Linked DNA regions of Anolis sagrei. The protein of the gene in region 3 binds, or shares a complex with, the protein of the main gene of each other region. Links are inferred from orthologs where the notes say so. Each region holds a gene or a part of one and is shown on either strand. Other genes may lie near its edges.

Region 1 (7,120 bases), on a different chromosome or scaffold from region 3:
GCAATGAGTTCAGGAGGATTCCCAAGCTGCGAACCTGCACCTTCAAAGGGGGTGTAACCAGGAGGACCTCTGTCTTGTCTGGATTCAACTTCAATTTGTTTGCCCTCATCCAGACTCTCACAGTGGCCAGACTTAAGCAGCTGAAGGGGGAAAGGAAAGGGCCTGAGGCTGATAGGAATTGAGGGAGTTGAAGTCCAAAACACCCAGAGAGAGGGCCCAAGTTTCCCCATGCCTGAGCTAACCTATGTTTGGGGATGAGGCCAGGATCTTGAGTAGCTCCTACTAAAAACCAGTGCAGATTTCTCATTTAGCTTGCCCCCTACTCCTTTCAAACACTTAGATGTGGCCTGTCTTAACCTTCTCCTCTCCAGGTTAAACATATCTGGCTCTCTGAGCCACTTTCTCACAGCGCTTGGCTTTGGTTGCCCTTCTCTGGACAGGTTCCAGCTTGTCAATATCCTTCTTGAACAGTGGTGCCCAGAACTGGACTGATGGGTTGACTTGGTATGCATGGAAGTTGTCCTTTGCCACTGTGGCAGGTGCCTACTCTTGACGCAGCCTTCCTGAATTCCACTTTATGCTTAAGTCAAATTGGTTGAGCAGTGTAACCTGTCCAAGTTGACTCAGACCTAAGTCCTATTGTGTCCCTTGGGGCTTATCCTGCCCTACCTTCACTGCAGTTAATGGTATGTGTCCTGATCATGTGCATCTACACGCTTAAGCGGCTGAGGGGGGAAAGGAAGGGGCCTGAGGCTGTTAGGAATGGTGGGAGTTGAAGTCCAAAACACTTGGAGGGAGGGCCAAAGCCTGCCCCTGCCTGGTGTCGAGGGAGAGTGACTCCAGCCTTCTTGTAAGCACATTAAAGCAATCCTTTTGTTTCTCCCTCTGGGTAATTCCTTTGCAGACTCCTGTAATTAGCGACAGGTAAACTCAGACGTCTTGGAGTGGGCTGCCTTTGCCAGGAGCTTTGCCAGAGCGGTGTCTGCGCTCCTTTGGCGGTGCAATTCCCCCTCTTAATGAGAAAGTTGGCAAAGCTCCTCCTCCTCCCTCCCTCCCCCCTCCCTGATGCCAGAGGTCAGGTCTCGACACGCCAAAGCAGACGATCCTGGGGGAGGAGGAAAAGACATCGTCTTTCATTTTTCCAAAAGTTCCTTGGGAGTGAAGCAAGCAGGCGGTCGGTTGGGCCACTTCGCGTTATGTAACGACGCGGAGAGGCATTCCTGGCCGGAGGGGGAGAGGAAGGGGAAGGGAAGGGAAGGGAAGGGAAGGAAAGGGTGCCCGTCCTGCGCCGGAGTCAATACGACCGTTGCAACGCTGCCAAGAAACCTGAAGCGGAAAGTGGTCGGAAGGGAAAAGCTGCGGGAAACGGAGGAGGAGGGAAAGGCGGAACTTTCTTGACTTTCTTTGCAGTGCCAGAAATGCACCCACATGGCTGGGAGGCGGTCTCTGCAAGAGCATGGTTTAGGCTGGATCTGCACTGCCATAGTTTGAACTGCAGTAAATACTGGAACCCTTGTGCCAGCAGGACTGAAGACCCACAGGTCGGAGGTTCGAATCCAGGGAGAGTGCGGATGAGCTCCCTCTGTCAGCTCTAGCTCTCCATGCGAGGACATGAGAGAAGCCTCCCACAAGGATGATAAACCATCAAAATATCTGGGCGCCCCCTGGGCAACGTCCTTGCCCACGGCCAATTCTCTCACACCAGAAGCGACTTGCAGTTTCTCAAGTCGCTCCTGACACACTCTCACTCACTCCGAGTAGGATAGTCTTCCAGGATCAGTGTACTGGCGGTGGGTCCTTAGGTGACTGTGGAGCCCTGTTCTTGACCTGCGTCTTCTCCTCAAGTGAGGGCATTGATTTCCAGGTGGAAAAAGGTCTTAGTCAGGATTGGCTTGATTGGCACGTTTCTCTCTTTCGCCTTCCATTCGTGCCTCTTCAAATTCTACAGCACTGCTGGTCACAGCTGACCTCCAACTGGAGCACTCAAGGGCCAGGACTTCCCAGTTCTCAGTGTATATGCCAAAGGCTTTGAGCCCATCTTTAAATCTCTTTTCCTGCCCACCAACATTCCATTTTACGTTCTTGAGTTCAGAGTAGAGCAACTGCTTTGGGAGACGGTGGTCGGGCATCCGGACAATGTGGCCGGTCCAGCGGAGTTGATGGCGGAGGACCATAGCTTCAGTGCTGGTGGTCTTTGCTTCTCCCAGCATGCTGGCATTTGTCTTCGCAAGAGATTTGCAGGATTTTCCGGAGGCAGCGCTGATGGAATCGTTCCAGGAGTTGCGTGTGACATCTGTAGACAGTCCACGTTTCACAGGCATATAGCAGGTTTGGAAGGACAATAGCTTTACAAACAGGCACCTTGTTTACAAACAGGCACCTTGTTATCCCTGCAGATGTCCCGACACACACACAACGGCAGTAAATGGTTGCATACTGACTATATAACACAGTTCAAACTGCATTATATGACAGAGGAGCAGGAGGAAGTGGTCCCAAACTCCTCCAGAGTTCTGAAGGCCCCCTTCCTCCACTGACATGTATTGTGGCCCATCTACAGAGATATTCTTGGAAGACCTCAGCAAGCGAGAGTCCAAAAGTGGCAGGCTAAAACCCAGCACCTCAATCCATGGCTGATACCAAATGAGAGATTCCTTCCTGGGCACACAGAAGACTGGGCAACTTGGAAGGCATTGAACACACTGTTGGGGATTGTGGGAGTTGAAGTCCAAAACTGCATTCATCCTTTGTGCACACGTGCATGTGTGTGTGAGGAACGACTTGAGAAACTGCAAGGCACTTCTAGTGTGAGAGAATTGGCCGTCTGCAAGGACGTTGCCCAGGTGTGTTACCATTCTGTGGGAGGCTTCCCTAGTTCCAGCATGGGAGGCTCTTGCACCAGGAGATGCAAAGCCAATCTTAAGAAATGGGCCCACAAAGTGGAGTCTAAGACATGGTAGTGTGGAGAAGAGCAAACCACAGACCACCTATTACAATGCAACCTGAGCCCTGCCACATGCACAATGGAGGACCTTCTTGCAGCAACACCAGAGGCACTCCAAGTGGCCAGCTACTGGTTAAAGGACATTTAATAGAAGGCCAAGTTTTTAAACTTTGTGTTTTCTCAAATACATCAGAACTATACCCTTGGTTCGCTCTCTGATACGATAGATCAATAAATAAATGGGAAGCTGGAGCTGACAGATGGGAGCTCACCTTGGTCTCCCGGAATCAAAGCTGCTGATCTTTTGGGCAGCAGTCCAGACGGCACATGAGTTTAATAGAATGCCAAGTTTTAAAACTTTGTTTTCTCAAATACATCACAACTGTACCCTTGGTTCGCTCCTGATACAATAAATAAATAAATAAATAAATGGTAAGCTGGAGCTGACAGACGGGAGCTCATCTTGCTCCCTGGATTCAAAACTGCTGATCTTTTGGTCAGCAGCCGTGCAGGCACATGAGTTTAATAGAACGCCAAGTTTTTTAAACTTTGTGTTTTCTCAAATACATTACAACTGTACCCTTGGTTCACTGCTGATACGATAAATAAATAAATGGGAAGCTGGAGCTGACAGATGGGAGCTCACCTTGGTCTCCCAGAATTAAAACTGCCGATCTTTTGGTCAGCAGTCTATATGGCATGTGAGTTTAATAGAATGCCAAGTTTTTAAACTTTGTGTTTTCTCAAATACATCCCAACTGTACCTTTGGTCCGCTGACACAATAAATAAATAAATGGGAAGCTGGAGCTGACAGACGGGAGCTCAGCCTGCTCCCCGGATTCAAAACTGCCGATCTTTTGGTCAGCAGTCCAGACGGCACATGACTTTATTAGAATGCCAAGTTTTTAAACTTTGTGTTTTCCCAAATATCCTTGGTTCGCTCCTGATACGATAAATAAGTAAGTCCAGAGCGTGGCTCTGTGTCTCTCTCCCCTTTTCCCCGTGCCGCTGGCCCTTTAAGACCTGCTCTCCGAACACTTGCACAGAAAGGGAGTGACCTCTGGGCTTTGACAGCTCCCCTAATAACCAGCCCGAGCCCTGGCCCCGCCCACCGCGCTCCGATTGGTCGCCGGGCCGGTATCCTCTCTCCCCATTGGGCGCCCGGTTCCCCTGAGCGAACCTTTTAGAACTCCGAGGCACAATATTCTGTTACATTGTAGCAAAATGGCGACTGTCATTCACAACCCCCTGAAAGCGTAAGTAGGAATCAAAAATGTACATATTTCCGCGTGGTTTCGATATGAAAAAAGGGCGCCTTTCCCTATGCAGGCGGCCAAGGCAGGAGCGGGCTGCCGGCAAGGCTCCCTCGCTCCCGGGGTTGGTGTGGCTTGCCTTATTTGTGTGTCACACGCACAAAAGTCTCCCTCCGCGGGGGAATTTCATGGGAAGGAACCAATTGTCACCGGGGCGTCCTGCCTGATTGATTGATGGGCGGCTGGCCGGGGACGGAGAGAGTTTTGGGGGCTCTTTAAAGGCGAAGCCACGGCTTCCGTGGCAGCTCCGGGTGGTCGGAGTCGGGGAAGGAAGGAAGGAAAAGGGAAGGGAAAGGAAGGGAAAGAAGGATCGATGCCGGGCAGGATTGGGCTGGATCTAGATCTCCCTTTCTATCCAGGGCGGCTTGTGCAGCAGTTGGGGAGTTCTTTCTTTTGTATGCCTGTCTTCGTGCATTTGTGTGCCTTCTGTGCGCGACATTTCCAAGCCCGGGGAGGAAGGAAAGAGAGTCGGGGGCTTGCCTCCCTTTCCCAGCCTTTCCTGCGCCTGTTTGCCCGGAGGGACTGCGCCGCGGACCTTTTCCTTGGCAGGTCAAGCCTTGGGAGCTCTGCGTAGATATATAGATCTAGATACACGGATGTATTGATACGAAACCCTGAGGCAAAGAGACGGCCGGACTTCCTGCGCTTGGATGGGAAGTAGCCTCCCGAGAATATATAGAAATATTCGGGAGAGAAAGAGAGAGAGACCTGGGGAGGTGAAAATATATTTCTCTCCAACTCTCTGTATATATATCAAGCATGGTCGAACTTGGGATCTCCAGGTGTTTTGGACTCGAACTCCCATCATCCCTCCCAGCCACAGGTCCCTTCCTTTTCTCCCTCAGCCGCTTAAGCGAACTTGGACCCTCCAGGTGTTTTGGACTCCAACTCCCACAATCCCCAACAGACACAGGCCCCTTCCTTTTCTCCCTCAGGAAAAGGAAGGGACCTGAGGTTGTTGGGGATTGTGGGAGTTGGAGTCCAAAACAGGAAGGGGTCTGAGGCTGTTGGGGATTGTGGGAGTTGCAGTCCAAAACATCTCAGACCCTCTTCTTTTCTCAGGAAGGGGCCTGAGGTTGTTGGGGATTGTGGAGTTGGAGTCCAAAACAGGAAGGAGTTTGAGTTTGTTGGGATTGTGGGAGTTGGAATCCTAAACAGGAAGGGGTTTGAGTTTGTTGGGGATTGTGGGAGTTGGAGTCCAGTGCTGCTTCTCCTCTATTATCGCTGGCCTCTGACAGGAAGGGGTTTGAGGCTGTTGGAGATTGTGGGAGTTGGAGTCCAAAACACCTGGAGGGCCCAAGTTCGCCCATGCCTGTTCTGTATGCATGTATCAGCTCTCTCTATTTTTTCGTGTCAGGAGTGACTTGAGAAATTGAATTGGGCGTCTGCAAGGATATTGCCCAGGGGATGTTTTACCATCCTTGTGGGAGGCTTCTCTCATGTCCCCGGCATGGGGAGCTGGAGCTGACAGAGGGAGCTCATCCTCTCTCTCTCCCCGAATTCGAACCTTCGACCTGTCGGTTTAAGCCATGCCTACCTATCGAGAGATAGTTGGAGCGTGAAAGAGGGAATCCTCGGAGAGCTGGAAGACTCTCCTCGCTTCCCATTCCGGAAGCCCGTTGGCGCTCCTCTTTGGCTCCGGGTCCACGGTTCCTTCCCCTCCATCTGCCTCTTCTCCTCCCTTCCCTCCCTCGCTCCAATCTTTCCCAAAGTAGAAAGGCTTGGGGGAGGTGTGCGTGTGCGTGTGTAGATCTCGGCGTGAGGGACTCGAGGCTCCGGCGTTGTGCTGTGTGTGTGTGTGTGTTTGTTGTGTATGTGTCTCTTTCTCTCCCCGGGGGCGGGCAGGAGGCGTCCCGACAGGTGCAGCCGGCTCCGGGAAGCAGTCGGAAGGAAGGCGCTGTGAAGATTGAGGGAGGGAGGCTTTCCTGGCCGGGTTGGGGAGGAGGGGGGTAGTTCTTTCGGGCTGGAAGACACTCACACGTTTGCTCGCACAGACACGCAACCAGCCGGCTAATCCCCGAAGGCATTAAGAAGGGAAGGGAAGGGGGGGGGGAGGGGTTTGGCCGCAGGTCTGGAGGCGCCCACTCGGCTTCCGCCCTCCCCCCTCCCGCCCCTTGACCTTTAGAGCCTCACGTTTGGCGCCGGAGGAAAGGAAAAGGCTGGCTTTCCGAGGGGGAGGGGGCACTTCCCCGCTCCTTTTAAAAGCCAAGGGACTGTCTGCAGCCACTTCCTTCCCCTTTGAGCTGCGCTTCCCGCCCTTGGCCAGCAACTCGGGGCTGACTTTGGGGCCCTCCAGACGGCAGAGGGTCTTGGCAAGCGGCTCCTGGTGTGAGAGAATTGGTCGTCTGCAAGGACGTTCCCCAGGGAACGCCTGGATGTTTGACTATCCAGTGGGAGGCTTCTCTTATGTGTTCAGATGAGAAGCTGGAGCTGACAGAGGGAGCTCACCCTGCTCCCGGATTCGAACCGCAGCAGTCCTGTCAGCAAGAGCCAGCGTTTTTCATAGACGCCCCCTAGGTCACGTGTCCAACATGATTGAATGGAGTGTCATTACCTTCCCGCCGAAGCGGTACCTATTGAGCTACTGTCATTTGCATGCTTTAGAACTGCTAGATTGGCAGAAGCTGGGGCTAACAGTAGGAGCTCACTCTCTGGATTCAAACAGCAAGTTCAGCAGCTCAGTGGTTTAACCTGCTGCGCCACCAGGGGCCTATACATAAATAAAAATAAATAATTGGGGGAAGGGGAGGTTCCGGGGGGTCCACCCCAAGGCTCTTTTCAGTGGGAGGGGAGCCCACGCGAGGTGGAGAAAGCCAACTTCCAGGCGGATGGCGAGGGGAACGCCTAAGCACCCCCCTTCCC
Region 2 (7,192 bases), on a different chromosome or scaffold from region 3:
AGTCGTCACACTAAAATCGTTGCTCATCATCCTCCATCCATATCTCAGGGTGTTGGCTCACCCAGCTCCTTAAGCCGCTCCTCATAGGGCTTATTCTCCAGACCCTTGATCATTTTAGTCGCCGTCCTCTGGACATATTCCAGCTTGTCAACATCTCCCTTCAATTGTAGTGCCCAGAATTGGACACAATATTCCAGGTGTGGTCTAACCAAGGCAGAATAGAGCATGGGTAGCATTACTTCCCTCGATCTAGACACTATGCTCCTATTGATGTAGACCAAAATCCCATTGGCTTTTTTTGCCACCACATCACATTGTTGGCTCATGTTTAACTTAGAATCATAGAATCAAAGAGTTGGAAGAGACCTCATGGGCCATTCAGTCCAACCCCATTCTGCCAAGAAGCAGGAATATTGCATTCAAAGCACCCCTGACAGATGGCCATCCAGCCTCTGTTTAAAAGCTTCCAAAGAAGGACTATCCACCACACTCTGGGGTAGAGAGTTCCACTGCTGAATGGCTCTCACAGTCAGGAAGTTCTTCCTCGTGTTCAGATGGAATCTTCTCTCTTGTAGTTTGAAGCCATTGTTCCGCGTCCTAGTCTCCAGGGAAGCAGAAAACAAGCTTGCTCCCTCCTCCCTTTGGCTTCCTCTCACATATTTATGCATGGCTATCATATCTCCTCTCAGCCTTCTCTTCTTCAGGCTAAATGTAAGCCGCAATGAGTCCCTTGGGGAGATGGTAGCGGGGTATAAATAAAAGTTTTTTAAATTATTATTATTATTATTAAATATTTATTTATTTAAAAGTTTTTTATACCGGCCTTCTTACCTCTCTTGAGGGACTCAGACCGGTTTCCAACCATAATATCACATACAATCAATAAAACATCATAATACATATTACAGTAAAATATTAAAACAGCAATTACACTCAATAACTATAATGGTCAGTCATCACACTAAAATTGTTGCTCATCATCCTCCATCCATATCTCAGGGTGTTGGCTCACCCAGCTCCTTAAGCCGCTCCTCATAGGGATTGTTCTCCAAATCCTTGATCATTTTAGTCACCCTCCTCTGGACACATTCCAGCTTGTCAATATCTCTGTTGAATTGTGGTGCCCAGAATGGGACACAATATTCCAGGTGTGGTCTAACCAAAGCAGAATAGAGCATGGGGAGCATGACTTCCCTAGATCTAGACACTAGGCTCCTATTGATGCAGGCCAAAATCCCACTGGCTTTTTTTGCCGCCACATCACATTGTTGGCTCATGTTTAACTTGTTGTCCAAGAGGACGCCCAAGATTTTTTTCACATGTACTGCTCTCGAGCCAGGCATTGTCCCCCATTCTGTATCTTTGCATTTCGTTTTTCCTGCCAAAGTGAAGTATCTTGCATTTGTCACTGTTGAACTTCATTTTGTTAGTTTTGGCCCATCTCTCTAATCTGTCAAGATCGTTTTGAATCCTGCTCCTGTCCTCTGGAGTATTGGCTATCCCTCCCAATTTGGTGTCGTCTGCAAACTTGATGATCCTGCCTTCTAACCCTTCATCTAAGTAATTAATAAAGATGTTGAACAGGACCGGGCCCAGGACAGAACCCTGCGGCACGCTGCTCGTCACTTCTTTCCAAGTTGAAGAGGAAGCATTGGTGAGCACCCTCTGGGTTCGTCCATTTAACAATCAACAACCAAAAATCAACAAAACATCATAATCAGACAACATCATGAAAACAACATCATGGCTCAACAGCAAATGATGATTTCAAGCTTTAGCATGGAGAGCATGACTTCCCTAGATCTAGACACTTTGCTCCTACTGATGCAGGCCAAAATCCCACTGGCTTTTTTTGCCGCCACATGACATTGTTGGCTCATAGAATCATAGAATCAAAGAGTTGGAAGAGACCTCATGGGCCATCCAGTCCAACCCCATTCTGCCAAGAAGCAGGAATATTGCATTCAAATCACCCCTGACAGATGGCCATCCAGCCTCTGCTTAAAAGCTTCCAAAGAAGGAGCCTCCCCCACACTCCGGGACAGAGAGTTCCACTGCTGAACGGCTAGTTTGAAGCCATTGTTCCATTGCGTCCTAGTCTCCAGGGAAGCAGAAAACAAGCTTGCTCCCTCCTCCCTGTGGCTTCCTCTCACATATTTATAAATGGCTATCATATCTCCTCTCAGCCTTCTCTTCTTCAGGCTAAACATGCCCAGTTCCCTAAGCCGCTCCTCATAGGGCTTGTTCTCCAGACCCTTGATCATTTTAGTCGCCCTCCTCTGGACACATTCCAGCTTGTCAATATCTCTCTTGAATTGTGGTGCCCAGAATTGGACACAATATTCCAGATGTGGTCTAACCAAAGCAGAATAGAGGGGTAGCACTACTTCCCTAGATCTAGACACTATGCTCCTATTGATGCAGGCCAAAATCCCATTGGCTTTTTTTGCCGCCACATCACATTGTTGGCTCATGTTTAACTTGTTGTCCACGAGGACTCCAAGATCTTTTTCACACGTACTGCTCTCGAGCCAGGCCTCATTGTCCCCCATTCTGTATTTTAGCATTTCATTTTTTTCTGCCAAAGTGTTTTGCCTTTGTCCCTGTTATAGTGTTGTTTGGGTTTTTTCTGCCTAAGTGGAGTATTTTGCATTTCTCCCTGTTGTAGGGTGTTGTTTTGTTATGGCCAACTCCTATATTAATTCTTAAAAATATCTAATGAGAATGGCCTGAGGAGAAAAAGCTTTTTCCCTGCCTTGGAGGGGATCCAAGATGGCGGCCGTAGCAGGCCTCACAGGATGCAAACGCCTCCCTCAGCGCTTCTCGGCGAGGCTTTGAGGGGAAAGCGGCTCTCACCTTGAGGGACTGGGTTCCAGGCGTGGCCGGGTCGCTGTCACATACCCGCGGGGACAGAACGGCCGCCATCACCGCCGACGGCCGCGGCGAGAAAGGTCCACCATCGGCCTCTTCTTCCTCCTCCTTTCTCCCTCACGCGACCCTACTTCCGCTTCCGGCTCTCAGAACGCCGTTGCATGACAGCGCCACCTGCGCCCTAGCAGTGGTATTGCAGCCGCATCCCAGAGCGCCTCCTTCTTCTACTGCACACCCATATGCGCATGCGCAAGGCATTGATTACACCTGTAGACTTAAGTTTTCACCCAGCAGGCCTTAGACCAGGGATCTTCAAACTTTTGAAACAGAGGGCCAGGTCACAGTCCCTCAAACTGTTGGAGGGCCAGATTATAATTGGAAAAAAACATGAAAAGAATGCAATAATTAAAATGAAGACAAGTCTACATTAGGCAATCCCTCGTTGGCCAAGTAGGATAGTCTTCCAGGATCAGTCCCTAGGTGACTGTGGAGCCCTATTCTTGATCTGCATCTTCTCCTGTAGTAAGGGCATTGGTTTCCAGGTGAAAGGCCGTCTCAGTCAGGGTTGGCTTGACGCACCTTCCTCTTGGCACGTTTCTCTCTTTCACCCTCCATTCATGCCTCTTCAAATTCTGCAGCACTGCTGGTCACAGCTGACCTCCAGCTTGAGCACTCAAGGGCCAGGGCTTCCCAGTTTTCAGTGTCTATGCCAGAGTTTTTAAGGTTGGCCAGATAGGCCCTATATCCTGGGATATAGGACCTATCTGGAAGAGCCCTCTTAGATAGTGTTGTGTATGCCTGCTTGCAGCATAGGATTCAACTTCCTACTCTAGATTTCTTTCAGGATGGCTGGGTTTCTTTCAGGCACATCTTAACACCTCTCAACAAAAGATTCCCCCAGGCACTGCCAGGCCATCAAATGCTAATCAACGTGGTCAGTTGAAACATTCACACCTAGCTCCAGCAGGCAAGAGTTCTTTGTCCCACCCTGGTCATTCCACAGAAATATAAACCTTTTTTCCTAGTTCCAACAGACCTCACTACCTCTGAGGATTCTTACTATAGATGCAGGCAAAACGTCAGGAGAAATGTCTCTAGAACATGGCCGTATAGCCCGAAAAAACCTACAACAACCCAGTGATTCCGGCCATGAAAGCCTTCGACAATACGTTTATATTTGTTTAAATTGTTCTTCATTTTGTTAGGTTCTTGTGGGTTTTTTCGGGCTATATGGCCATGTTCTAGAGGCATTCTCTCCTGACGTTTCGCCTGCATCTATGGGAAGCATCCTCAGAGGTAGTGAGGTCTGTTGGAACTAGGAAAAAGAGTTTATATATCTGTGGAATGACCAGGGTGGGAGAAAGGACTCTTGCCTGCAGGAGCTAGGTGTGAATGTTTCAACTGACCACCTTGATTAGCAGGTGGACAATTTCAACAGAAAGGAGGAAACCATTGAAATGAACAAAATCTGGCTACCAGTATTAAAAAAAAAAACTCTAAAATTAGAACAGCACAACAACAGAGAGGAAACAAACAAGGACATCTAATCACCTCTCAACAAAAGATTGCTCCAGGCACTGCCAGGCAATCAAATGCTAATCAAGGTGGTCAGTTGAAACATTCACACTTAGCTCCAGCAGACAAGAGTCCTTTGTCCTATCCTGGTAATTCCACAGATATATAAACCAATTTTCCGAGTTCCAACAGACCTCACTACCTCTGAGGATGCTTGCCATAGATGCAGGCGAAATGTCAGGAGAAATGCCTCTAGAACATGGCCATATAGCCCGAAAAAACCTACAACAACCCAAATATAAACTTATTAGCATATGAATGGGAAGTGTGGGCCTGCTTTTGGCTGATGAGATAGGATTGTTGTTTTGTGCTTTCAAGTCATTTCAGACTTATGTTGACACTGAGCGAGGGCCGGGTAAATGACCTTGGGGGGCCACATCCGGCCCCTGGTTGTTAGTTTGAGGATCCCTGCCTTAGACAGAACACTAATATTTAGGAAATGCTATGCAAACACCAAGCACAAAGTAGCTGCCCGCAATAACATCCTTGTAAGCTACCCTGAGTTTGCCAGGCTGTCTGGCAAAGTTCCAGAAGCATTCTCTCCTGACATTTCACACACATCTATGGCAGGCATCCTCACATGTTGAGGGGTCTTCTGGAAACTAGGCAGGTGAGTTTTATATATCTTTGGAATGTCCAGGGTGGGAAAAAGAACTCTCGTCTGTTTGGGGAAAGTGTGAATGTTGCAATTGGCCACCTTGATTAGCATTTAATGGCCTTGCAGCTTCAAAGCCTGAGTGATTGCTGCCTGGGGAGTCCTTTGTTGGGAGGTGTAACCTGGCCATGATTGTATCTTCTCTCGAATTCCCCTGATTTTTGAGTGTTGCTCTTTATTTAGTGTCCTGATTTTAGAATTTTTAAAAATACTAGTAGCTAGATTTTGTTCATTTTCATGGTTTCCTCCTTTCTGTTGAAATTGTCCACATGCTTATGGATTTCAGTGGATTCTCTGTGTTGTCTGACATGGTGGTTGTGAGAGTGGTCCAACATTTCTGTGCTTTCAAATAATAGGCTGTGTCCAGGTTGGTTCATCGGGTGCTCTCCTATGGCTGGCTTTTCTGGTTGAATTAGTCTGCAGCGCCTTTCATGTTCCTTGATTCGTGTTTGGGCAAAGCTGCGTTTGGTGGTCCCTCTGTAGACTTGTCCACAGCTGCATGGTACATTATTTACCATGGTATTTATGCAGTGCTTTTACATGAAATAAATAAATAAACCCAGCCAGCCTGAAAGAAATTTAGAGTAGGAAGTCGAATTCCATGCTGCAAGCAGGCATACACAACACTATCTAAGGGCTCTTCCAGATAGGCCCTATATCCCAGGATATAGGGCCTATCTGGCCAAGCTTAAAAACTCTGGCATAGACACTGAAAACTGGGAAGTCCTGGCCCTTGAGTGCTCCAGCTGGAGGTCAGCTGTGACCAGCAGTGCTGCAGAATTTGAAGAGGCACGAATGGAGGGTGAAAGAGAGAAACATGCCAAGAGGAAGGCGCGTCAAGTCAATCCCGACAGAGACCGCCTTCCACCTGGAAACCAATGCCCTCACTGCGGGAGAAGATGCAGATCAAGAATAGGGCTCCACAGTCACCTACGGACCCACCAGAATACTGATCCTGGAAGATTATCCTACTCTGCCAACGAGGGATCGCCTAAGTATATCCCAGGATCTGATCCCAGGTTAGGATTTGTGGGAGTTGAAGTCCAATTTGGAGGGCCAAAGTTTTCCCATGCCTGCGGTAAGCCGAGAGCTGATGTAATAACATGCATCCAAACAGGAATCTGTGTATTCCTATTTTTATTTTATTTTTCTTAAAAATGAGTAATTGAAACCATTGTCCAGCGGGTCATGGAAGACTGTGAAAATTAAAATATTCGTCCTTTTTGCTATTTTTAACAAAACGTCTTAAAATGATGGAGCTATTTCCTAGAGAAGTATTGCAGCCCTGCGCTGGCTTAGATCGGCATCTAAGAGGCCAAACAGCTGGAAACAGAAGCCTGTCTTCGAAAAGCTAGAATTTCACCATCTGTTGCTTTGCTATGAATAGTCTGGTCGCTTAATAGAAAAATATTTGCTTAGAAAAGGAGGGATATTTTTTTAATTTAAAAAAAAGAAAAAATGTTTTTTTTCATCAAAGGTTATTTGGGAATGAGTTGCAATACACATTTTGAAGAGTACTTGGTTTTAATGGGGATTTAGTGTGCTCAATATTCGGCAAACTTCAGCCCTCCGGGTGTTTTGGACTTCAACTCCCACAATTCCTAACAGCCGATAGGCTGTTAGGAATTGTGGGAGTTGAAGTCCAAAACACCCGGAGGGCCGAAGTTTGCCCATGCCTGTTCTACCCTGTTGTCATCTTCAATCAACCTTGTTTGTAGCTTTCGAAATAGTTTCAATAAGCTATGAAAAAGAATGTCAACAAGTGGGTAAACTCTTTGGGAGGAATGTGGCTTTTTTGTGACAATGAAGCTGTAAATAGTGATTGCTTTTTTCAGCCCAAGCTTTCTTTTCTTTTTTATGAACAAGTCTTAAGCTGCCTTCTGTTGCTCAGCAACAAGTACCACTCTTTGCAGATATTACTGCATTATACAAGAGAATAACTATGTACAAGGGAGGAAAAAATCCTGGCAAAGTACCCACAGAACATGTATTTGAAAGGAAACCCACCCAAAGGATCGGCACAGTAATGACAAAATATCAAAATGTATGCCATCTGACATAGAGTCCAAGTAAGAAAAAAAACAGCACAAG
Region 3 (7,435 bases):
ATCTATCTATCTACCTATCTATCTACCTATCTATCTATTAGGCCTGGTCAATCTATGGTTCTAAATGGTTCTAAAGTACTTACAAAACTTAAAGTTCTGGTGGTGAAAATTTCAGAACTCTAACAAAACTTTCAAAATGTAATTATTATTTCATTATTGGTGATTTTTAGGATAGAACCATCTAGGAACTGCCATTTATAATGAAATTTTGAGAATTTTGTTAGAGTTCTGAAATTTTCACCACCAGAACTTTAGTTTTGTAAGTACTTTAGAACCATTTAGAACCATGGATTGACCAGGCTTACTATCTATCTAGATAAAGGTTTCCTCTTGACGTGTCCAACTCTGGGACTCTGGTACTCATCTCCATTTCTAAGCAGAAGAGCCGGCATTGTCCGCAGACGCCTCCAAGGTCAAGTGGCCACTGGCATGATTGCATGGGGAGCTGTTTACTTCCTGCCAGAAGGAGCGGTACCTATTGGTCTACTCACATCTGCATGTTTTCACACTGCTAGGTTGGCAGAAGCTGGGGCTAACAGTGGAAGCTTCCCCTGCTCCCTGGATTCTAATTGCCAACCTTTTGATCAGCAAGTTCAGCAGCTCAGCGGTCTAACTCACTGCACCACTGAGGGCTCCTATAATATATATGTGTTTGTGTATGTGTGACTGGAATTACACTTTAAAATGTCCCCGTTCTGACTGACAAGCAAATTCAACTTAAGAACAAACCCTCAGAAATGTTTGTAACTTGGGGACTACCTGCATTTCCCCCCTCCCCAAAGAAGGAAGTTGAACTTTTCCTGAAAAGGACCACTCAACAGGGGAAAGAGGGGCCCAGAATGGCCCCAGCCCCCACAGAGGAGCCTTCAGTGGGGTGCAGATTGTGTTTGAGTGTGTGTGGGGGGGAGGGGGGGTCACCTGAGCTCCTATTTTGCCTCCATTTCCCTCCCCTCAAAAGAGAAAGAGGAGCCACTTGGCCCAAACTGGACACAAGCACTTTGGCCCCAAAGGAGATCCAGAGAAGGAAGAGGACCTCGGGTGAGCCTCCCCTCCCCTCCCCAAATAATGCCCCCCTCCACTCTCAGACTAGGGAGGGTTCCACATTGAGGAGGGGCGACTGGTGTGGCCCCAGAGAGGAGGAGCCAGGAGAGAGGGACCCAGGGGCCACAATAGGTCTCAACAGGGATCTCTGGACAGCCCCAGAGAGGCAGGTGGTCAAAGTTGGACCGTCCCCACTGGCATTGTGCCCCACTCTTCTTTGCCCCCCCCTCCTTCTCTGCAATGGGGCTGCTTCTGAGAGGCAGGGAGGGGGCACCACCTGCCCCGTCAGGTCTTCAGGGGTCCTTCCAGCCCTCTCTGGCCTCAGTGCCTCCTGGCCCAGTTTTGAAGGGGCTGCATCACCCACCCACCCCATTTGATGCTTCTCTAAGCTCTCCCTGGGGCTGAACCTGTGGGGCCTGCCCCAGTGAGAGAGAGATGCCCCCAGCAGAGCCCCTTGCACACCAAGATCCCTTCTGCCTGCAGCTCAGGCCCACGATTCAGAAGGTCTCCAGTGCTCTACCTGGCCTTGGCTGCCCACCGTCCACCTCTCTGGACACTGCCAGGTCACCTGTTGACCAAGCCCTGCTTGCTCTAGTCTTGGCAGAAGTGGCCCTTCTTGGCCGCTGCCTCCAGTGGGCTTCCGCCCCAAGAATCATAGTTGGAAGAGACCTGGTGGGCCATCATCCAGTCCAACCCCCTTCTGCCAAGAAGCAGGACAATCACGTTCAAAGCACTCCCGAGAGATGGCCACCCAGCCTCTGTTTCAAAGCCTCCATAGGAGGAGCCTCCACTTCTGCTCCAGATTCATATTTTAGAGGGACACTTCCATCTTTTCACAGAAGATGTTTTGGGGGGACTTGCAGCTCTGGCCAAACTCTTGAAGGAGGCTGGACCGTACCCTCCATGGCCCCCCACCCCACCCTGCAAGCAAAGGAGCCCCCTCTTGAGTGACACATGGACAGCAAAAGGAGAGAAGGGGCCCCTTCTTTGGGAGTTGCCGACCCCCCCCCTTCCTCCACCTCCTCCTGGACTGGCCCTGCTGCCCCCTGAAGGGCCTGGCTGACCCTTTGCTACTTCACTGGACCTCACCTGTGGGAGGAGGAGGAGGGGGGTCCAGAAGAGGGCAACCCTAGGGGGGGGGGGGTTGGGTGGAAGGAGCCTTCTCCCTGACAGAAGGGGGCGGGGCTGGGGTCTTCATGACCCCCCCCCCCCCGCCTGTCCCCAAAACTGAGCTTGGATTCCCCACAGACACACACTCCTACCCCCCTCAGCTGTACCCCCCTGGAGTCCTCATGACTCCCCCTTGCATATCCCCAAAACTGAGCTTGGCTTCTCTTGTGTTCCCCACAGACACACACTCCCACGCCCCCACCCCTCAGCTGTACCCCCCAGGCTTGGGCTGCATCCCAAAGAAACAGCTGCCCAGAAAAGCCCCCGCAGCTGCTCTGGGACGGAGGGAGGGAGGGGCACCTGCGGAGACCTGAGGGGGGGGGGGGGCGCCGGGCATTTCCTCTTCCCAGTGAACAGACTCCAGGCAAAAGTTTCCGAGGGTCCTCCTGGGCCGGCTGCCGAGAAGCCCCCTCCTCACACACTTTGCCCTGCTCTATCCAGGAGGCCAAGCCCCCCCCCCCCTCTCGAAGATCCAGAGGAATCTGAAGCCCCCCCCCTCCTCCCCGCAAAGGCATCTCCCAGGCGGGGAGGGGGACGGGGCGACCCCCCTCGGCGGGGCACCTGTTCGGGGCAAGGCACGTGTGGGGGGGGGGGGGCGGGGCGGGCCAGCCTCTCCCCTCCCTCCTTCCCTCCCTCCTGTCCCCCTCCCCCCCTCACTCACCACCCCATGGACCAGGAACTCGAAAAGTTTGCTCTTGGTGGCCTTCCGCGCCCCGCCGGTCACTTCCTCCGCGGCCATGGGTCCGGCTGGGCGAGGAGGGGCGGGAGAGGAGAGAGAGAGAGCGGCGACCAGGGAATAGGGGGGGGGGGGCGAGGGAAGGCGGGAGGGAAGGAAGGAGGGAGAGAGGGAGGGGCCTGCTTTCTCCGCCCGCCTTGCCTCCCCTCCCCTTCCCTTCCCTTCCCCGCCGCCGCCGCCCCGGCCTCCTTCTCCTTCTTCCTCCGGCCTCTCCCGCCTTCCTGCCTTCCGCCGGTCGAGAGAGAGAGAGAGAGAGGCCCAGGGGGAGGGCGGAGGGGAGGAGGGGGAGGGCGGGAGGAGGGAAGGAGGGAAAGAGGGGAGGGGTCCGCACGGGGCGCCGCGAGGGACGGCCCCAGGCGGCGGAGCAGAGGCACCAGCTGCGGCCCAAATTCCTCCGCCCAAGACAGAGAGAGAGAGAGAGAGAGAGAGGAGGGGAAGGGGGGAGGGAGGGGAGGGGGAGGAGCGGACCCTCGGGAGGACACCCCCCCCCCCACGCTCAGACCCCGGACCGGGAAGGGGGGGAGGGAGGGAGGGAGGGAGGGGAGGAAAGAAGGAAGCAGGCGCCGACAGACACAGAAAGAGAGAGAGAGGAGGGGAGGGGGAGGGAAAGGGGGAGAGGGAGGGGAGGGAGGGGCGGACCCTCGGGAGGACACCCCCCCCCCCACGCTCAGACCCCGGACCGGGAAGGGAGGGAGGGGAGGAAAGAAGGAAGCAGGCGCCGACAGACACACAGAGAGAGAGAGGGGGGGAGGGGAAGGGAAAAGGGGGAGAGGGAGGGAAGGGGAGGGGGAGGAGCGGACCCTCGGGAGGACACCCCCCGAGTTCAGACCCCGAGCCGGACCGGGAAGGGGGGGAGGGAGGGAAGAGGAGGGGAGGAAAGAAGGAAGGGAGGAAGGAAGGAAGGAAGGGGCCTCTTCCCCTCCCGGCCGCACAAAGGCTCCTCCCCGCCCCTCCCCTTCTCTCTCTCTCTCTCCCCCCCCCCCCCCCTCGGACGCCGCGCCCTCCCTCCCTCCCTCCCTCTCTCCCTTCCTCCGCCGCTTCCGGCCTCCTCTCCCGGGTCAGCCCCCCCCCGAGAGCCCCGCCCCCACCCCTCGACGCCCCCTCCCTCTCTCCCTCCCTCCAGAGGAGCCAGACCCGACTCTTCCCCCCCACCCCGAGAGGAAAGGCATGGGATCCGATTACCCCCCCCCTTTCCCTTCCCGCCGCAACGAGGGGGGGGCGCACTTGCCGTCCTTCCCGGCGCCGCGGTGACCGGCATCTCCGGCGCTGGTCTCCCTGGCAACAGAGGCGGCGTTGCCAGGTAACGGGAGGGGCGTGGTACCCAAGGGAGGCTCGAGAAGGAGGGAGGGAGGGAAAGAGGGAGGGGCGTACGCCCCTTTGGAGGGCGGGGGCTGCGGAGAGACTTCGCGCGGGAAGGAAGCAGGGAGGGGAGGGGAGGGGAGGAGGGAAAGGCCCCCTCCTGGGGAAAAGACCCCTCCTCCGCGGCCCCCTTGGCGCGGGGGGGGGTTGTCTCCTCGCCCGACTCCACCCCCTTGCCCCCCTCCCGAATAGCTACCTCCTCTGAGGGAGGGAAGGAGGGGAGGGCGCATGCGCAGAGACTTCTCTTGTCTCTCCCGTGAAGGTCAGTCAAGCGGACGGCGGGAGGGACGGAGGGGGGAGGGAGGGACGGAGGAGGGGCTTCCGCTCTCCCGTGTTTGGAAACGGAGGCTCCGGGACACGCGCCGCCTCCCACGAGAAGGGAGGGAAGAACCTTCACATACCCCTCCCGCCTCCCCCCCCCCCAGCATAGGGCTCCAAGACGGGGGGGGGGGTCCCGCAGCCAAGCCGGAAGCCAAGCCTGAAGCCCCTTCCCCGCAGGACGGGCCCGGCCCCGAAGGGAAGAGCGGGGTCGGTGGGGCCGAAGGGGGGGCGGCGTGGTCCCTCTTGGCCCCCCCCCTCCGGACCTCCTCCACCCTGCCCGTCTCCCAGGATGTTGCTGCCCAGAGCGGGACCAGGCGAGAGACCGGAGGGAGCCAAGCAGGAGAGAAGTCGGGGGACGGGGGGGGGGGGGCACCCCAGGAGAAGGGCTCGGGCTCCTTTGGCAGCCGCCGAGTCACACTCGGGGCTCCCACTCAGCTTGGGCTCTCCTCAGACCCCTTCTGGACTGGACCCCTTCCCCACGGAGGATTCTCAGGAGATCCCTTTGACCAACAGCCGGGTTTTTCTTTTCTCTGTCAGGAGCCACTTGAGAAACTGCAAGTTGCTTCTGGTGTGACAGAATTGGCTGCCTGCAAGGACGTTGCCCAGAGGACGTTGGTATGGGTGCAGCTGGTGCACAAGTCTTAGTTGTGCCAAAGCTCTCCTGGCCACCACGGAGACCTGGGGTTCCAGGCTCAGCAATGAATCCAGGAGGACTCCCAAGCTGCAAACCTGGTCAGTCGAAACTGACCAGGTGTAACCCCACCTAGCACAGGCTGTAACCCTATGCCCTGTTCAATGGCCTTACGACTGACCAGGAGGACCTCTGTCTTGCCTTGATTCACTTTCAGTTTGTTAGCCCTCATCCAGACCGTCACAGCGGCCAACCACCGGTTCAAGGTCTGGACAGCCTTCATAGTAACAGGTGGGAAGGAGTGACAGAGTTGGACGTCATCTGCGTACAGATAACACCTTACTCTGAAACTCCGGATGACCTCCCCCAGCGGCTTCACGTAGGTGAACATCGGGGACAGTACTGAACCCTGAGGGACTCCACAAGACAACAGTTGTGGAGTCCAACAGGTGTCACCCAATAACACCTTCTGGGACCGACCCTCCAGGAAGGACCGAAGCCACTGCAGAGTAGTACCTCCAAGTCCCATTCCCACGAGGCGTCCCAAAAGGATACCATGGTCGATGGTATCGAAGGCCGCTGAGAGGTCCAGCAGAACCAACAGGGACACACTCCCCCTGTCGAGCTCCTGGCGTAGATCATCTACTAAAGTGACCAAGGCTGTCTCAGTCCCATGTCCCGGCCTAAAGCCAGACTGTGCCGGATCTAGATAATAAGTGCCTACCAAGAACCCCTGGAGTAGCGAGGCCACCACACGTTCCATGACTTTGCCCAAGTAGGAAAGATTGGAAACTGGCCGAAAGTTGACGATTGAGTGGGGTCCAGTGATGGCTTTTTCAACAGTGGTTTAATAACAGCCTGTTTTTTTATGCTGGCTAGAATCTTGCCCTCTTGTAAGGAGGCATTAATCACCACCTTGACCCACTCTGCCAAACCCCCTCTGGCCTCTTCTGTCAGCCAGGATGGGCAGGGGTCCCAGATGCATGTGGTAGGCTTCGCTACTCCAAGGATCTTGTCCAGGTCCTCAAGCTGAACCAATTGAAAAGAATCCATCAAAACCGGACAAGCAGGTGCTCGTGTCACATCTTCAGAGACTGCCGTTAAAGTGGCATCGAAGTCAGAATGGATCAGAGTGACTTTGTCTGCAAAGAACTGAGCAAATGCTTCACAGCGATCTGCCAAGTTGTCAGGGATCTCGCTCTGAGGTGGATTTAATAGTTCTCTGACAACTTGGAACAATTCCACTGGATGGTTCTTAGCGGACACAGTATTGGTCACAAGAAATGTTTGTTGTCGGGGATCAAACTCTGAGGCGGATTTAATAGTCCTCTGACAACTCAAAACAGCTCAGCTGGACGGTTCTTAGCAGATGCAATATTGGCCACGATAGATGTTTTCTGTGCAGCCTTTACTGCCGCGTCATAGGTCCTTAAAAAGGAACCCAGGCGTGCTCGAGCTGATCTGCTATGCTTCCGCCGCCACACACACTCTAGCCTCCTCTTCTTTCACTCCATCGCTGCCAGCTTCTCAGTGAACCAAGGAGCTGGTTTAGCTTGGTTATTGGTGAGGGGGCATTTTGGAGCGATCGGGTCTATTGCCCTGGTCATCTCCCTGTCCCAGAGAGAGACTAGAGCCTTGATAGGGTCACTTACCAAAGAGGCAGGAAAATCCCCAAAAGCCGTCAGGAATCCATTTGGATCCATAAGTCTCCTGGGGCAGACCATTTTAGTGGGCCCACCTCCCCTGCAGAGGTGGAAAGACACAGTAAGTCCCTTTGCCTACCAAGCTAGCAACTCATTCATTCTCTCTCTCTCTCTCTCTCTCTCTCTCTATATATATATATATATATATATAGAAAGGATATTCATCCAGCATGACTTGTTTTTGAGAAATCTGTGCTAATGTCCGCATGGCATCCCTTTGCAATGCTTAGAGATAGTTCTAGAGTCTTTCCTGGTAGGTCTTGATGCCAGGCTGACTAGGCGGTTCTTGTTTGGGGGCCCCTTTTGAAGAGGGGGCCACATCTGCCCTCCTCCAGCCTGTGGGAATGCCCAAAGGTGATGGTCACTAGTCCTGAAATGACTCCTGCCTGTTCTTTCCATATTCTTGGATGGCGTTCAACCTCACCTGGAGATAGAGGTTTCATTGAGATTAGCCAGGTATCCTTGTCCTGCCTT
Region 4 (7,646 bases), on a different chromosome or scaffold from region 3:
TGGGATATAGGGCTGTGTGGAAGGATCCAGAGTGTGGGTCTAGGTAGGTATGTGGCGCATGGGCTGCTACACACCCAAAGCTGTGGGGCTGTGGAAATAATGTGGGACTTTCTGCCTTGGTATTCTAGGATATAGGGCAGCGTGGAAGGGCCCAGAGTGTGAGTCTGGGTAGGTATATGGTGCAAGGGTTGCCACACACACAAAGCTGTGGGGCTGTGGAAAGACCCCAAGTGTGAGTCTGGGTAGGTATGTGGTGCAAGGGTTGCCACACACACAAAGCTGTGGGGCTGTGGAAATGATATGGGACTTTCTGCCTCAATATTCTGGGATATAGGGCTGTGTGGAAGGATCCAGAGTGTGGGTCTAGGTGGGTATGTGGCGCATGGGCTGCTACACACACAAAGCTGTGGGGCTGTGGAAATAATGTGGGACTTTCTGCCTTGATATTCTGGGATATAGGGCAGCGTGGAAGGGCCCTGAGTGTGGGTCTGCGTAGGTATATGGTGCAAGGGTTGCCACACACAAAGCTGTGGGGCTGTGGAAATAATGTGGGACTTTCTGCCTCGATATTCTGGGATATGGGGCTGTGTTTCCACAGGGCCCTGAGCGTGTGTCTGGGTGGAGAGGTGGTGCAAGTCTTGCCTCACACAAAAAGCTCTTGTTTTCCACGAAGGGAGCCAGCCCAGCCCAGCTCTCTGTGGCCTGAAAGAGGCTGAGACAGTGTCCCTCGCTAAGCCAGGCGTGGAAAGTCAAAAGGGGAAGAAGGAAGGAGGGAGAGGCGGCGGGGAATGCTTACCTGGCTCCTGCCGAGGGCCTGTGCGGCGGCGGCGGCGGTGCTGGCCCCGGGGCTCATGGCCGGGTGTCCCCGCTGTGGCGCGGCGGCGGGGGGCCAGGCCGGGCTGGCGTTGGCGCTGCTGGCCCCGAACGGGCCCCCGTCCTTGCCCGCCAGCCCCGCCGAGGAGGAGGAGGAAGAAGAAGAAGAGGCGGAAGAAGAGGCGGCGGCGGCGGCGGCTTGGGTGGAGGGGGGCTGGGGCTGCGGGGCCGCCGGGGCCGGGTGCCCGTACTCGGGGTACCCGCTGCTGCCCCCGTAGCTCCGCATCATGGGGCTGGGCGAAGTCAGGAGCTGGTTCAAGGTCGGCGTGGCTCCCGAGGGGTGCTGCTGCTGCTGCTGCTGCGCCGGGCCCGGGAAGCGCTGGAAGCCCTTACTGCCGCCTCCTCCTCCTCCTCCTCCGCTTGGGCCCAGCATCATGCCCTGCGGAGGGAGCTGCCTGGGGGAGCCCAGCACCCCGAAGGCCGAGGACGGGCTGTTCCCATAGCTGCTTCCTCCTCCTCCTCCGCTTCCTCCTGCTCCAGCTCCAGGCCTCCCGTAGGCGTAGTGGTTGTAGTGCCCGTGGGCGAAGGCGTCGTGGGAGTGGGGCGCGGGCTCCATGCTGAGAGGCCCCCCTGTTACTCCTGCTGCCGCCGTTGCCGTTGCCGCGGGGAGCATTAGCCCCATCCCGGGGCTTTGTTGTCCGCCATGTTGATCAAAGCAAGGCCCGGCCCGGCTGGCGGAGGAGGAGGAGGAAGAGGAGGAGGAGGAAGAAGAGGAGGCGCTGTTGCCGTTGTTGTTGTTGCTCCCGCTGTAATAGCTATTAAACTCCGAGGCGGCGGAGGGGCCTCCACTATTGCCACCACTACTACTACTTCCTCCTCCTCCTCCTCCTGGTCCCATTTTCTCCGCGTCTGCTTCCTCCCCTCCTTTCTTCAAGGCCCTCGCCGCCTTCCCCGTGGCCGCCCCGGCCTGGTTGGGGGCCCCCAAAGCGCCTTCGTGGCCTCCATGTTGCTGCTCTTGAGGCGGCTCCATGTCTGCGCTGCCAGGCTGAGCAGCGCCTCCGCCGTTGCTGTTGTGACTCTGTTGCTGCTGCTGCTGCTGCTGCGGTTGGAAGGGGCTCCTGTGCAAGGCCTGCCGGAGCTGGAAGGGCAGCGAGGCCGCGTGAGCGTGGAGGTGGTCGCCCCCGACGCCTTTCAGCTTGTGGTTGGGCGCCAGGCCGGCCTCCATCGCCGCGAACAAGCCGGGAGACTCTTTGAGAAGCGCCTCCGAGGGAGAAGAGCCGCCACCGCCGATGATGTTGCTTGCGTTGTGATTCGAAGGAGGAGAAGGAGTTGCATTATTGGCCGCGCTCAGCTCATGATGGTGGAGGCGGCGGTGGAGGAGGTGGTGGTGGTGCTGGTGGAGCTCCACGTTGTTTAAGCCTCCGCTCTTGTTGTTGCTGTTCGTCCCATCTGCGCCCAGAGAGTCCTGGCTTAAGCTGCTGCTGTTGCTGCTGCTGGTGTTGTTTCCCGGCAAAGAGGGGCTCTTGCTGCCTCGGTTGTTCTCCCTCGCCGCCACTTGCGCGGCCATGATCAAGGCAACATGGCTCACTCCGGGAGGAAATAGTCATAAATAAGGACGCAAAAAAGAAAGAAAAAGGGGGAAACCCCAAGAGGAGAGGGAAACACAAACCCCACAATAAGTGGGACGCCGGATTGTTTGCCAACCCACCCAAAAAAAACCCAAAATAATAGATTGGTTATTCCATATTGAGTTCAACTCCCCTCCTTGGCTGAGTCCTTGCTTAATTAAGGACGCCCGTGGTGGGCTCTCACGAGGAAAGTTATTTTGGGAGGGGGTTTTGAGGGGGAGTCAATAAAACTTTTCCTTTCTTTCTCTCTCTTTTCTTCCTTTCTCTCTCCTTCCTTCCTTTCTCTCTCTCTCTCTTTCTTTCTCTTTCTGTCTTTCTTTCCCCGCTTTGAACCCGGATATGGGTAAATATAACTAAATACACGTCTGGCTGCGCCGATCTGGCCCAGCGTGCATGGCAGGAAGGACAGAGAGAGAGAGAGAGAAAAGGAGCTCCAACCACTACGATCCACTTCTGCTGAGAGACTGGGCCGCATGGAAAACGCGGAGTGGATTCCGATCCCGGATTCTGCGGAGGAGGAGGAGGAGAGGAAGGGAAAGCCCGCCTGGCCTCTAGCGCTGAGCTCGGCAGAAACGAGGAAACATGAGGCTTTTAGACCCTTCCACATAGAACAGGGAAGGGTCCCCTTTTTAAACAGAGGGCCAGGTCAGTCCCGCAAACTGTTGGAGGGCCGGATTATAATATGAAAAAAAAGAAGAATTCCTATGCACACTGCATATATCTTATTTGTAGTGCAAAAAACACTTAAAAACAATGCAATAATTAAAATGGCGCAGTGGGTTAAAGCACTGAGCTGCTGAGCTTGTTGATTGAAAGGTCACAGGTTCAAATCCGGGGAGCGGAGTGAGCTTCTGCTGTCAGCCCCAGCATCTGACAACTAGCAGTTTGAAAACAGGCAAATGTGAGTGGTTCATTAGGTACCGCACCAGTGGGAAGGTAACGGCGCTCCATGCAGTCATGCCAGCCACATGACCTTGGAGGTGTCTATGGACAACGCCGGCTCTTCGGCTTAGAAATAGAGATGAGCACCACACCCGTCAGCCCCAGCTTCTGCCAACCTAGCAGTTTGAAAACATGCAAATGTGAGTAGATCAATATGTACCACTCTGGCAGGAAGGTAACGGCGCTCCTTGCAGTCATGCTGGCCACATGACCTTGGAGGTGTCTATGGACAACGCCGGCTCTTCGGCTTAGAAATGGAGATGAGCACCACACCCCAGAGTCAGACACGACTGGACTTAATGTCAGGGCAAAACCTTTACCTTTACCTTAACTAAAATGAAGAACAAGTTTAACAAATATAAACTTATGAGTATTTCAATGGGAAGTGTGGGTCTGCTTTTGGCTGATGAGATAGGATTGTTGTGTGCTTTCAAGTCATTTCAGAGTTAGGTTGACCCTGATCGAGGGCCGGGTAAATAACCTTGGAGGGCCATATCCAGCCCTTGGGCCTTAGTTTGGGGACTCCTGACATAGATGAATAAAATTCCACATTATCTGCTTTGGATCAGAATATATGGCAGTGTGGACTTGGGGACCTTCCACACAGCCCTATATCCCAGAATATCAAGACAGAAAATCACACAATATCTGCTTTTAACTGGGTAATCTGAGTCTGCACTGCCATCTATTCCAGCTCAAAGCAGATACTGTGGGATTTTTTGTCTTGATATTCTGGGATATAGGGCTGCATGGAAAAGTCCCATGTCAGACTACACAGAGAAGCCATTGAAATCCACAAGCATGTGGACAATTTTAACAAAAAAGAGGTAACTATGAACAAAGTCTGGCTACCAGTATTTTAAAAACTCAAAATAAAGACAGTAAATAAAGTGCAACTCTCTGAAAACAGATAGGAAACAATCAGGACCAGCTAATCACCTCCCAACAAAGGATTCCACCAGGCAGGAAGCAGCTAGGCTTTGAAGCTGCAAAGCTATTACATGCTAATCGAGAAGGCCAATTGCAACATTCACACTTGCCTTAAACAGACAAGAGTTCTCCCCCCCCCCCCCCCCGGGCATTCCACAGATATATAAACCCCATTTTCCTAGTTTCCAGCAGACCTCACAACCTCTGAGAATGCCTGCCACAGATGTAGGTGAAATATCAGGAGAGAATGCTTCTGGGACATGGCCATACTGCCCAGAAAACTCACAGCAACCCAGTGACAAAAAGCCTTCAGCAACACAGGCTTTACAACTGTTTTGTATTGTGTGTCACTTTCTTTTTATTCCTTCTCAATATTACACCTCGACCATTTGTGTCCATTGAGCTCCTTTTCACACACTTCCAAAGCACCAATACACTAAACTGACCTATCAGTGTTAGTTTTTGGAATGGCCTGAAAGGGTCCTCTGCATCAATCACACGATCACATTTTAAAGAAACCATACTTTGAAGCCATTTAGGTGGACGTGAGAAAAATACCTTTATTCTCATTATGTGCAGGATACCACACGGTTAAAAGGCATAGATTAAAAAGACCAGCAAAACACACATATATTAAAATACATAAGATTAGAAAAACTCATAAGCAAAAGATGACAGTGCCCAACACACATTTTAGTATCTCCAATGTTAGTCCTGTTTCTGGGTGTATTTCACCTGCTGGTTCCAAAAATGGCACCCGTTCTCCCCTATCAGCTTTAGTTTTTTCAGATACAGAACATATGCCATCTACTAGTTGCCATCTGCTCACCCATAAAATATCAGGATCTTTTAATGTGTTTAAATTAATATCTTTCAAGCACAAAGAAAACATATTAAACATTAAAAGAAAAGTGTGCTGCATAAGAATCTACGTATTTCATACCAAAAGCACAGATTTATGATACAAACTTTCCACACATGTGTTGTCAAAGGCTTTCATGGCCAGAATCACTGCGTTGCTGTGAGTTTTCCGGGCTGTATGGCCATGTTCCAGAAGCATTCTCTCCTGATGTTTGGCTCACATCTGTGGCAGGCATCCTCAGAGGTTGTGAGGGAATTCCATACAGGAAACCATTGGGGCCAGCTAACGTCTCAACAAAGAATTCCCCCAGGCAGCAACCAGCCAGGCTTTGAAGCTGCAAGCCCATTCAGTGCTAATCAAGGTGGCCAATGCTGACTGACAGCAATTCTCTCAGTTCTTTCTGACCTCTGTCTAGAAATGTTACAGACTGAACTCTAAACCCTTTGCACATTAACTACGTACCCCACCACTACTCTTATTAAGTGTAAGTTCTGTTAAAATGATTGAATCAGTCCTAAAATGTTTATTTGGAAGACTAACAGGCTATTCCATCAAATTGTTCTACCCAAGTAGCACACCATGCACTAACCACACAAATGGAATTCGCACAGAATCAGACTTGTGAAATGTACCATTTGATGAAGATAAACTACACAAACTCTCAAATATCAACTATGTTGATGTACTCAAAGGTTTAGTCCATTAATTAACTGATACATTGATTTAAAAACAAGACAGCTATTTGACTAAAAAGCCCTCATTAACTGGCATCCCTTGAAAACAATGTTCATCTGGAACTTTACCCTCAGAAATATTATTGTCCATTTCATGTTAGCAGCATTGCTTTAAAGAGTATGTGAGGATGCATTTTAATAACTGCAGTATCATAGTCTCTGCTATTTCCCCACGTGCAAATATTTTTATAAAAATTGTGTGTATGTGTGTAAGAGAGACTAAGAATACAGTAGAACCCCCATATGTGTGGGACTAATATCTGCTGTTTAATTTATCCACATTTAACAAAATACCATATGTCCTTTCTAGCCATTTTCTTGGTCCTCCAGCATGTCATCGTGGTTAGGTATTTTATTTATTTGTTTGTTTGTTTTAGGGCATTTATATCCCTTCCTATCTCACCTCCACAGAGGGACTCAGGGCAGGTAACAACCGGCACAGCATAGTGCCCACAATAAGAAAAGCATTTGTTATTCATTCGTTCAGTTGTTTCCGACTCTTCGTGCCTTCATGGACCAGCCCACGCCAGAGCTCCCTGTCGGTTGTCACCACTCCCAGCTCCTTCAAGAAAAGCATAAATATACATAATATAATAAAACAGTATAAAAACAATATAAAAATATTAAGTACAATAACGAATTCAGTGATAATCCTAAAAACAGTCCATCATAGTCCATTAAAACCATAACTTCGCCAGTCAGTCTAGTCAGCAAAGGCCCGATCCCACAGCCAGGATTTCACTTTTTTTCAGAAGGACAGGAGAGATGGAGCAGATCTGATTTCGTTTGGGAGGAAATTCCTTACCCAAGGGACCACCATGGAGAAGGCCCTGTCTCTCGTCCCCACCAAGTGTGATTGTGATGGTGGGGGGACAGAGCAGGGCCTGCCCTGACTATCTTAAGGTCCTAGATGACTCGTAGCAGGAGATACGTTCGGACAGGTAAACTGGGCCAGAACCGTTAAGGGCTTTATAGGCCAAAGCCAGCACTTTTGTGCTCAGAAGCTAATAGGCAGCCAGTGGAGCTGGCGTAGCAAGGGCATGTGAGCTCTCGGTACCCCATCCCATGAGCAACTTGGGTTCCAAGTGATAGACTAACTGAAGCTTCCAAACAGTCTTCAGAGTCAACCCCACGTACAGTGCATTGCAGTAGTCTATTTGGGATGTAACCGAAGCGTGGACCACCGTGATCAAGTCTGACCTCCCAAGATATGGGCGCAGTAGGCGCACAAGTTTTAATTGTGTGAAAGCTCCCCTGGCCACCGCTGAAACCTGGGGTTCCAGGCTCAGCAATGAGTCCAGGATCACTCCCAAACTGGAAACCTGTGCCTTCGGGAGTGTAACCTCATCAAGCACAGGCTGTAACCCTATACCCTATAATGCTATTCATTAAATTATGTCTGTATGTATGTACTTGTTGGCATTGAATATTTGCCTTTTATGTTCTCAGCTGCTCTGAGTTCCATACTGAGAGATGCGGTGAGATATAAAGTTTCATTAGTATTATATTCTTGGATGGGAAGTCCTTAATTTAAATGAGATTTGCTATCTTCCCACTGTTTCATGTATCCAGATGAAGTCCAGGAGCATATTCATTATGGATACAGGCGTCATACTAATACCACAATCTATTAAATAAACTAGGAAGTAAAATAATCCAACACAATATTTATAGTACATTCAAGCATATGTTAGAAGTAGGTAAATGATACTTTTATCATAAAGTAGTTGTCCCCAG

What was found.
Region 1: SMARCD3 (region 3) and DPF3 share a complex: the UniProt entries of both Homo sapiens proteins name them as parts of the BAF complex. The link is inferred for Anolis sagrei from reciprocal best matches to the Homo sapiens genes SMARCD3 and DPF3.
Region 2: SMARCD3 (region 3) and PHF10 share a complex: the UniProt entries of both Homo sapiens proteins name them as parts of the neural progenitors-specific chromatin remodeling complex. The link is inferred for Anolis sagrei from reciprocal best matches to the Homo sapiens genes SMARCD3 and PHF10.
Region 4: SMARCD3 (region 3) and ARID1B share a complex: the UniProt entries of both Homo sapiens proteins name them as parts of the neuron-specific chromatin remodeling complex. The link is inferred for Anolis sagrei from reciprocal best matches to the Homo sapiens genes SMARCD3 and ARID1B.

What each region holds. Positions count from the first base shown.
Region 1 is NC_090021.1:285,843,731-285,850,850, reverse strand, and holds the start of DPF3 (zinc finger protein DPF3), read left to right. Parts: upstream 1-4,113; 5' UTR 4,114-4,169; coding exon 4,170-4,201; intron 4,202-7,120. UniProt on the Homo sapiens protein: Belongs to the neuron-specific chromatin remodeling complex (nBAF complex).
Region 2 is NC_090025.1:190,183,722-190,190,913, reverse strand, and holds the start of PHF10 (PHD finger protein 10), read right to left. Parts: upstream 3,010-7,192; 5' UTR 2,926-3,009; coding exon 2,857-2,925; intron 1-2,856. UniProt on the Homo sapiens protein: Involved in transcription activity regulation by chromatin remodeling. Belongs to the neural progenitors-specific chromatin remodeling complex (npBAF complex) and is required for the proliferation of neural progenitors.
Region 3 is NC_090026.1:134,052,180-134,059,614, reverse strand, and holds the start of SMARCD3 (SWI/SNF-related matrix-associated actin-dependent regulator of chromatin subfamily D member 3), read right to left. Parts: upstream 3,011-7,435; 5' UTR 2,951-3,010; coding exon 2,873-2,950; intron 1-2,872. UniProt on the Homo sapiens protein: Involved in transcriptional activation and repression of select genes by chromatin remodeling (alteration of DNA-nucleosome topology).
Region 4 is NC_090021.1:69,803,434-69,811,079, forward strand, and holds the start of ARID1B (AT-rich interactive domain-containing protein 1B), read right to left. Parts: upstream 3,005-7,646; 5' UTR 2,381-3,004; coding exon 797-2,380; intron 1-796. UniProt on the Homo sapiens protein: Involved in transcriptional activation and repression of select genes by chromatin remodeling (alteration of DNA-nucleosome topology).